2 linked regions of the Macaca mulatta genome follow. The protein of the gene in region 1 interacts with the protein of each later gene in a biochemical or structural test. Links are inferred from orthologs where the notes say so. Each region holds a gene or a part of one and is shown on either strand. Other genes may lie near its edges. The genes, in order: CCKBR and CCK.

What was found.
Region 2: the proteins of CCKBR (region 1) and CCK form a complex in vitro, tested with the Homo sapiens proteins (3 studies listed by BioGRID). The link is inferred for Macaca mulatta from reciprocal best matches to the Homo sapiens genes CCKBR and CCK.

The regions. Positions count from the first base shown.
Region 1 is NC_133419.1:59,528,701-59,533,160, reverse strand, and holds the start of CCKBR (gastrin/cholecystokinin type B receptor), read left to right. Parts: upstream 1-1,437; 5' UTR 1,438-2,048; coding exon 2,049-2,199; intron 2,200-4,460. UniProt on the Homo sapiens protein: Receptor for gastrin and cholecystokinin. The CCK-B receptors occur throughout the central nervous system where they modulate anxiety, analgesia, arousal, and neuroleptic activity.
Region 2 is NC_133407.1:105,587,696-105,592,279, reverse strand, and holds the end of CCK (cholecystokinin), read left to right. Parts: intron 1-3,598; coding exon 3,599-3,732; 3' UTR 3,733-4,004; downstream 4,005-4,584. UniProt on the Homo sapiens protein: This peptide hormone induces gall bladder contraction and the release of pancreatic enzymes in the gut. Its function in the brain is not clear.

The sequences.
Region 1 (4,460 bases):
AAGAGAGTTCTGGGCTTTGCATCACAGCATCCAGCACAGGGGTGAAGGATCATAGGGGAGTAAGGCATCAATAATAATTCCTAAATTTCTGATATGTACATCCCGATGGGTGCACTTAACGACCGTATATTACAATCATTGGCTTACTTGGGAAAATCCCCACTAGAGTAGGTGCTACTCAGGGGCAAACTATATTGGACTACTAATGCACACCCCTAGAACTGGCATAGTTTGCTAATTGACAATGAACATTGTGAATGTTCATCTACTTCTATTTTCACTCCCCTCTCCCTTATGTCCTTTGCTCCCTTCCCTCCTCATCGTACTGCCATCCAATGTGGGAAAACTTGAGCAGGTTATCTGAGGCCTCACCTGCGCTGGAGTTGAACAAATAGGAAATCAAGCTCGTCTGGTCCAGGCTCTCTGATGGGCAAGACAGGCAGTGCCAGGAGGAAGGGAAGGAGGGGCAGTTGACGACATCTCAGGCATAAACTGTCTTTCAACTCTCTTTCAATGCTTCAGCCCCTATAAACTCAGAGCTGGCTGAACCAGGTCCTCTCCAAAAGATTGATTGGATAAAGGCCTGCTGAATCCCCCATAAAGCCAGACTCCATTCTCTAATTTGCTCTTCCACTGATGCCCGCCCCCCACCTCTTACAGCTACTGCTGGGGGTCAAAAGACAGAATTTCACATCGTATTGGAGTTCATCTGGAATCTGAAGAATGGATAGGAATCTGGAGATAGGAATCTGGGGAAGAAAAGGAATGGATAGGAGAATGCATAAGGAGCAGGGCTGAAATAGTAGAAGAGGCAAATCCTGCCCTGAGAAGATGAACCCAGTTCAGTCCTGCACCCTTCAGCCCTGTTCCCGCTGCACCCCAGTGACCCAGTCCCCTTCCAGCCCCCACTCGTGGGAACCTGACACCCTACACAGGCAGCTCTGCCTGCACTGAGAGTAAACAGGGAGCCGTTAGCGTGTCGGGTGGGCGTGGGCGCTGCCTGGAGACGGTGGAGAAAGCCAACCGTCTCCTCCTCTTTTGTCTGCGCTGGGCCGGCGTTAGAATTATATCCCATCTTCACGTTACTCGGGTTTATCCTTGTCAGCTCTTGCCACCACCCCCAACTGCCCTCAACACCCAAGTCAGAAGCTGCCTCCCGGGAGCCCTTTCCCCTGGCAAGCCTCCCCTGGAGCCAAATCCTGGCCCCACCCCCACTCCCGCCCAGCTGTGGAGGGCTCCTTGGGAACCTTAAGTGGAAGCCTGAGTGTTGAGCCTCCGATAGGAGGTGAAGGTTGCGGAGACAGATGCAGGAGCTACCCTAGTCCCGCAGCGAGGAGCTGCAGGGAACTACGGTAGCAATAGTGTCACGGTCACTGCGGTCACTGCAACACAGTACCATAAATGCGGCTCTAGGTGCAGACTAAAGCATCCGCGCCTCAGCAGGTGACGCACGCAGACCCGGTCTCCAACGCCACCTCCACGTTCCCTGATACACCAGAGAAAGATGTTGGATCCGTGGCAGCCGTCTCTACCCAACGCCTCCTACCCTCCCTTCCCCAAAACCTCCCGCTACGCTGCCAATACTCTTGTCTTCTCTCTCTCTCTCTCTCTCTCTCTCTCTTTCTTTCTCTCTCTCTCTCTCTCTCTCTCTCTCTCTCTCTCTCTCTGTCATTCCGGGGAATCGAGGGTGGGGGCGGGTGATAAAGAGAGGTGGGCAGGAGAGAAATCTCTAAGAGGAGACAGGACAGATCTAGGGAGGGGGCGAGCCTGGAGGACAGTCGCACAGGGAGGGGCAGAACTCCCGAGCCCGGGAGGGGGTGCACAGTCACCTGGTGGGACAGAGGCTGGCGGAGGGACGGGAACCGAGGCGGGGTGAGCCGCGGGAGAGTGGAAGGGCAGGCGCCTGGGCTGGGGGCGGAGACCAGGCGGGGCAGGGAGGCGGGGAAGGAGGGCGGTGGGAGCCTGAGCCCATCGCAGCGTGAGCAGGTGGAGCCGCGGTGGGAGCCCGCCAGGCCGAGCAGAGTAAGGCGGCGGGCTCCGCCGGGGCCATGGAGCTGCTAAAGCTGAATCGGAGCGTGCAGGGAACCGGACCCGGGCCGGGGGCTTCCCTGTGCCGCCCGGCGGCGCCTCTCCTCAACAGCAGCAGTGTGGGCAACCTCAGCTGCGAGCCCCCTCGCATTCGCGGAGCCGGGACACGAGGTGGGTGCCCCCCTCATCCCCCTCCACAAGCTCTTTCTCACTGTACCCCAGAACACTAATAGAGTCCCCCCACGAGCTCCACACTATCTCCTCAAACGCCCACACCGTGCCCCTCAGCCCCCAAACAGCTCCTCTCACACCTTCACCCCCACAGCTCACAGGTTCATAGCTTCACACCACCTGGTCGGAACTCCTTCACATCCTGGTCCCCTGATTACACCCAGAGCCGCTGCTTGCCCCAAAGCACAGCCCCTTCCCCAACACGCAGCCCCTCCTAGACACCAGTTAGAAGGCGAGGAGCTCCTCTTGCCAACCCTGCAGATCTCCTTTTCCCTCTTACATCCAGTTCACAAAGCCACAACAGAGAAGGGAAGGAAGAAAGGAAGGCAGGATTGGGAAAAGAAGGGGGCTGGTTGAGGGAGGGAGCACTCTGGAAAGCTTGAATGGGAAACCGAAGATGTGATCACATCTGACACCTCAGCCCCCAGGCATCCCAAAAAAAGATCCTCAAATCTGATTTAGGCTGGACACTAGGAGATGCCCCTTAAAACTGCCTGTCTCCATTTCACTCCTCAAACCCCTCTGCCTCCCTAGTTGGAGTTTTCAAGGCTCTGTGCCCTCTCTCTTTGTCTGCAAGTAATGTCTCCAGCTATCTTCCAAGCTCCCTCTTCAGCCCTAGACTAGGTGCTGGGGGTACAAGGCAAACTAGACCCAGTCTGGTCCCTCATGACCCATAGCCAAGTGCAGAGAGAAAAAAGCAAATGGAAAAATCACAGACACAGTGGAAATCCCATGAAAAGGTTTAAACTGTGGGCACCAAAAGAACTTCACAGAGGCTAGAATCTTGGAGCTGGGTCTTGAAGTTGAGTGGGCAGAAAAGGAAGGATGGGATTCTAGTGAAGGAAATAAATTTTTCTAAACTTGAGAAGGGAAAGTTGGAATAAATTGTAATCCAAGTATTTACCCCATGAAATAATCTATGCTTTCTCAGCCCATTTGTTACACACTCACACTTGGATTTGTCATTCAGCCAATATTTATTGAACCAGAGATTGTGCTAGGCAGTGGGAATGTAAGTTGAACAAAACTGACACAATTCCTACTTCACAGAGCTCAAAGCTTAATGGGTGAGACAGACAAGCAGGGGATAGAAGCACAAAGTGGAAGAGCCTTGATAGGGAAAAGATAGTGGGAACACAAGTGGAGCACCTCTAGCCCAGCCTAGCCTCCGTGAGAATTAAGGTTGGCCTCTTAAGGAAATGAGATACAGAGTGAAAAAAATTAGGGAGATTGGCTCTAAGCTTCCTGTTGGAAAAAAAAAAAAAAGTGTGTGTGTGTGTGTGTGTGTGTGTGTGTGTGTGTGTGTATGTGTGTGTGTGTATATATATATATATATATATATGAGAGTCAGTCAAGTAAACAGGCAGAAGAGGCAGAAAGCATCCCAAATAAAAGATGTATAAAAAGCTCCAAGTTTGAATTCATGGCACTTTTATCCACTGTGACATAGTTTTGAGTGGCTACAACATATATCTTAAGAAGGGAATAATGAACAGGCTGGAGACCAGCCTAGAGAGTTTGCAGAGAGCCTACTAGACCTGACCATGGAATGTGGACTTTATCCTGAGGGCAATAGGAACTACTAAAAGATTCAGTAGCACTACCAGGATTAGTTCTATAATGTGGAGAATGGATTGGAAGACATGAGATGGAAGGCAGGGGGGTACTTTAGAAGGTTACTATATTACACTGGTTTAGGTGAAAGATGATGCTAGCTGAGACTACGGTAATGGCAAGGGGGACAGAGAGAGGTGTATAGGTTTGAGAGCCTTTTCTGGAAATGGAATCAACAGATTAGAAGCAGAGAGGATGGAAGAGGTCAAGGGATGACATTCAGATTTCTAACTTGGACAATTGAATGGATATTGGTGCTATAGCAATTGTATACAATGAGCAAGATAACAAAACAGCAGAAATAGGTTTGGAAGAAGGAATTATGAATTCAGTTTGGAACCCATTGAGTCTAAATGTTAGTGGGATCATCCAGGTGAGGTTACCTAGTAAGCTATTGAATCCAGGGGTCTGGAACTTACAGGAGAGGTCTGAGGTGGAAATACAGACTTGAAGGTATTTGCCTACAGGAGGTAGAAGCCATGAGAATAGTTAAAATCATACTATTTTGTATAGAACGAGAAGAAAATAAGTCCTGGGTCAAGACTCTGCATAAGACCATTATTTAAAACCCAGGCAGAGAAAGGAGA
Region 2 (4,584 bases), on another chromosome or scaffold:
TTCCTGCTGATTTTCTGCCTGAAAATAATTTAGTGTCTGTCCCCAGATACAGGCTGAATTTCAGCCAGACAAGTCTGAAATATCCTAGGCTTTTCATTGATCTGTGGATCTGGAACTCCCCTCCCCCAATTTGGGAAAGACCCTGTTTTTCTTCTATGTAGGCTGAGGATATCTGCAAAAAGGCCTGAAATGTGCTGAATTGACTCTTGGTTCCAAAATTGTTCTAGGAAAAAAAAAAAAAAAAACAACTCATTACCACATTATTTCCTAGAACCAATACTAGACAATGGCTCTTAAAGCATAAACCTTAGCTGGAAAGTTTTTCTAGTCCTTCTTCTCAGCCCCCCTCTCCCTTTGCCTTCAGCCAATTGTGCCAAACAAACCCAGGAGAAAACAGCAATCACTTGGAAATTTAGATGCCAACACCTAGGATCAACGCTAGCTAAAAAACAACCAAACTCTTCTATGTGACAAACATGAACTAGGAATAAATACTCACACTATAGAAACTGCACGGTTTCTTTGAATATTTTACATATTTCGAAATCATATCAGATTTTTGCTCCACTATAGTATATATTATGCTTAAATGTTCTAAACAAGACAATGCATTCTTTGAGCAGTGCTTAAGAGTTTATCATTAGGAAATATCTGCAGCACTTTCAATGGCCCAAGAAGAAACAATTCTATTGGAGGGCAGTGGGTAAAGATACCTAGAGGCATTTAGTGGACACCTCCCCCATGCCCAGCAAAGCTTCAATGCTACATCTATATTGTCTCTCTCAGTACAACAGCCCTGCACAGTAAGTATTATTATACCCATTTTGCCAGCGTGGAAGCTGGGGCTCTAGAAGCCTGAGTAACCTACATGTTGTTCCGTATCTACGCAACAGCAGGGCTGAGACTCTATCTAGTCCTGCTCCTCCCAGGAGGGCCTGGAAGCCATTCAGCTTCCTAGCTGTACTACCTAATCCACATTTTAAAGTTTAAAAGAGCTAAACCCTTCAGTTGTAGCAAGAGCCCAGAATGTCACTGTTTTCTCAGCACCAAAGCCTTTCTCCACGAATAAGGTGATTCAGCAGCTCAGTAGCTGAGTAACATGCAGACAATCCTGTCCTGAGGCTCGCTTTCCCCTGAGCCCCTTCAAATTCTTTGTGTGATTCAGAGGGAGGCCCGTCCATCTCTTGTGGCCCGTAGGAATTAGACTTTGATCAATTCCATACATCAGATGTAAGCCTCTACTCTATGTCAGCACTGGGAAAGTGAGTGAGGACCCTGGTAAATACACATGACATTAGGACAGAACTGTAGGTGGAACAGGGAAGTCAGGGTGTGTGATAAATGCAGCTTCCACAACTGAACATGGTGCCCCCACCGTTAACTGAGGCTGCTTGCTCGTATTGAAGCTGTCACTTCGCTTCCATTAGATGGAAATTTGGGTGTGCCCAGGCCTTAGTGGGCACTCATCATCACAGCAGGCAGGAGGATGGGTCATGTTTCCACGTGACTGTGTACAGGTAACTGGGTCTATAGGTTTTCCTGAATTCAAAGACTAATATTTCACCTGAACAATGAACAATTAAATAGCAGGGGCTATTTTTCTTCTACATAGGCTGAGGGTATCTGCAAAAAGTCTTGAAATGTGCTGAATTGACTCTTGGTTCCAAAACAGGGAAGGGTTGCGGTTGGGGAGAGAAAGAGTGGGGATGTTGTTCTGTGTTGTTTCTGTTTTTAATTAAACTTGCTTAATTTTATTACCCTGGGTAACTGCCTTTGCATTTTCATTTATCAATAAATAAGCCATAGTCTGACTCTACTCAGCCTATGGGCAGGAGCTGGCAAGCGCAGCTTCATGCAGAAGGGATATAGACCAGCCTCACAGGAGGTGGGGACACAGTGGCCCCCAACACAGTGGGAACCATTGAGTGGTCCCCCACTCCTCTACCCTTGAATTGGTCTGGGCTTTGTTCACTGAGGTCCCTGAAGAACCTTTCTTAAGACTGAGCTTGCACAGGAGAAGGTGTCCTACTGATTTCGTACTCCAGGAGGCTACTGTCTATGAACTTTGAGCTAGGACTATGTCCCATGCCTCCAAATAAACTGCCTCTTCATGTCCCTACTCACTCAGTGTGAGCTCTACAAAAGGATCACACTGTTCCTGAAGACTTAACTTCCATCCCAATGGGACCATTTCAGGTTCAGTTACTGCATTTTGGTCAAAATGGCTGATTTAAATCACCTTTGTTATCACCTCTCTCCCGCCCTTCTTTGAGTATTACTGAGGTGCCAAGATTTTAATCTGACAGTCTTTTTCTGAATATCATTTTTAATTGATATTGATTTATCATTGAAAATAAAATGATCATCAATTCAAAACACTTACTGATAAATGAAAAACACTTTCTGAATGTAACTTTCAAATTCATATTTTTAAAAGAGTATTTATATAGCAAAGGGGCTTTATTTATTTTTTTCTTTATTATACTTTAAGTTCTGGGATACATGTGCAGAACATGCAGGTTTGTTACATAAGTATTCCTGTGCCATGGTGGTTTGCTGCACCCATCAACCCGTCATCTACATTAGGTATTTCTCCTAATGCTATCCCTCCCCTAACCCCCTGCCCCCCAGTAGGGCCTGGTGTGTGATGTTCCCCTCCCTGCGTCCATGTATTCTCATTGTTCAACTTCCACTTATGCGTGAGAACATGTGGTGTTTGGTTTTCTGTTCCTGTGTTAGTTTGCTGAGAATGATGGTTTCCAACTTCATCCACGTCACTGCAAAGGACATGAATGCATTGTTTTTATGGCTGCATAGTACTCTGTGGTGTAAATCGCCACATTTTCTTTATCCAGTCTATCATTGATGGGCATTTGGATTGGTTCCAAGTCTTTGCTATTGTGAATAGTGCTGCAGTAAACATATGTGTGCATGTGTCTTTATAGGAGAATGATTTATAATCCTTTGGGTATATACCCAGTAATGGGAAGGCTGGGTCAAATGGTATTTCTGGTTCTATATCCTTGAGGAATTGCCACACTGTCTTCCACAATGGTTGAACTAACTTACATTCCCACCAACGATTTTATTTTTTTAACCATTCCAACATCAAGATATTATAATTGTGCTACCTTAACAACAAGAGCTCTCCAGGAGTCAGGAATGTTGATGGATATTAAGGGATGAATTTAGGAATAAATAAGTACTGGAAAAATCTTTGGTTGGTTTCTGCTGAGGCCATGTACAAAAGGAAAACACCCACCTACCAAAAGAAAGCAAAAGGTAGGGAGACTAAGGAAAATCTAGGCAAGTCCCCAGCCTGCAAGGCTGGAGAAAATGAATCCACCTAAATACTTGCAGAACGCAAAGCACACCCCTAACTTGTAAATATTGTCCTCTCTCCAGTTACACAGACATTGGTCCTTCTCCTCTCTTAGATTTTGGTCTATCAATTCCACTACTTTGACAGCTCTTTGATACCTTTAAGGTGGTGTCTATTATATTGTGTCTGGCTTTTTCCATTGCTATCCTTCACAAATTGAACTAGAGATGCTTTTAGATGTAATGTCCCTGTTTCCTTCCTCCCTGTCCTTTGTAGCTCCTTCTGGACGAATGTCCATCATTAAGAACCTGCAGAACCTGGACCCCAGCCACAGGATAAGTGACCGGGACTACATGGGCTGGATGGATTTTGGCCGTCGCAGTGCCGAGGAGTATGAGTACCCCTCCTAGAGGACCTAGCCTCCATCGGCCCAACGAGAAGCAACCTCCCAACCCAGAGGAGGCAGAATAAGAAAACAATCACACCATATCTCATTGTCTGTGGAGTTTGACATTGTATGTATCTATTTATTAAGTTCTCAATGTGAAAAATGTGTCTGTAAAAATTGTCCAGTGCAACCACACACCTCACCAGAATTGTACAAATGGAAGACAAAATGTTTTCCTCATCTGTGACTCCTGGTCTGAAAATGTTGTTATGCGATTAAAGTGATTTCATTCTGCCCTGTCATTCCCTGCGTCTACTGAGGGCAAAGGGCTCCATTTGATCCTTAGAACATGCAAGGAGGGAAGCCTGATAGATGCTATACCAGGACAAATCCTTGTAGTAGATGTCCCCAGAAAGGGCTTGGGAAATGCAGCTCAGGCCTGAAGCTAACTTTGCTACAGGCCAGCTGGACAGTGAAAGGGTCATCTGTGGGCAACTCCAGAGCCCAGCCCTGGCCACCCTGATCCCCAATCTTATTTGCCAATCCTACTCCCACCAGGGTTTCCTTGGGGTTCTCTTGGCCTTTCAACAAGTTACAGGCAGTAACTGGCCATGGTTTTGCGTACATTTGATCACTCCATGGCTCTGTGGCACAGAGGTTATCATCCTTTCTTTACAGATGAGGAAACAGGCTCTGAAGAGTGAAAGTGACGGCCCTTATGCCCCAGCTAAGGAGATTCACACACTGGAGGTCTTAATGTTCTGAGGCTAGCGGGACCTTCATCACTCTAGCATTTCTCCAACTGAGTGCACAGGAATCACCTGGGGAATCTTGTTAAACTGCATGTTCTGATTCAGCACATCTGGGCGGAAGC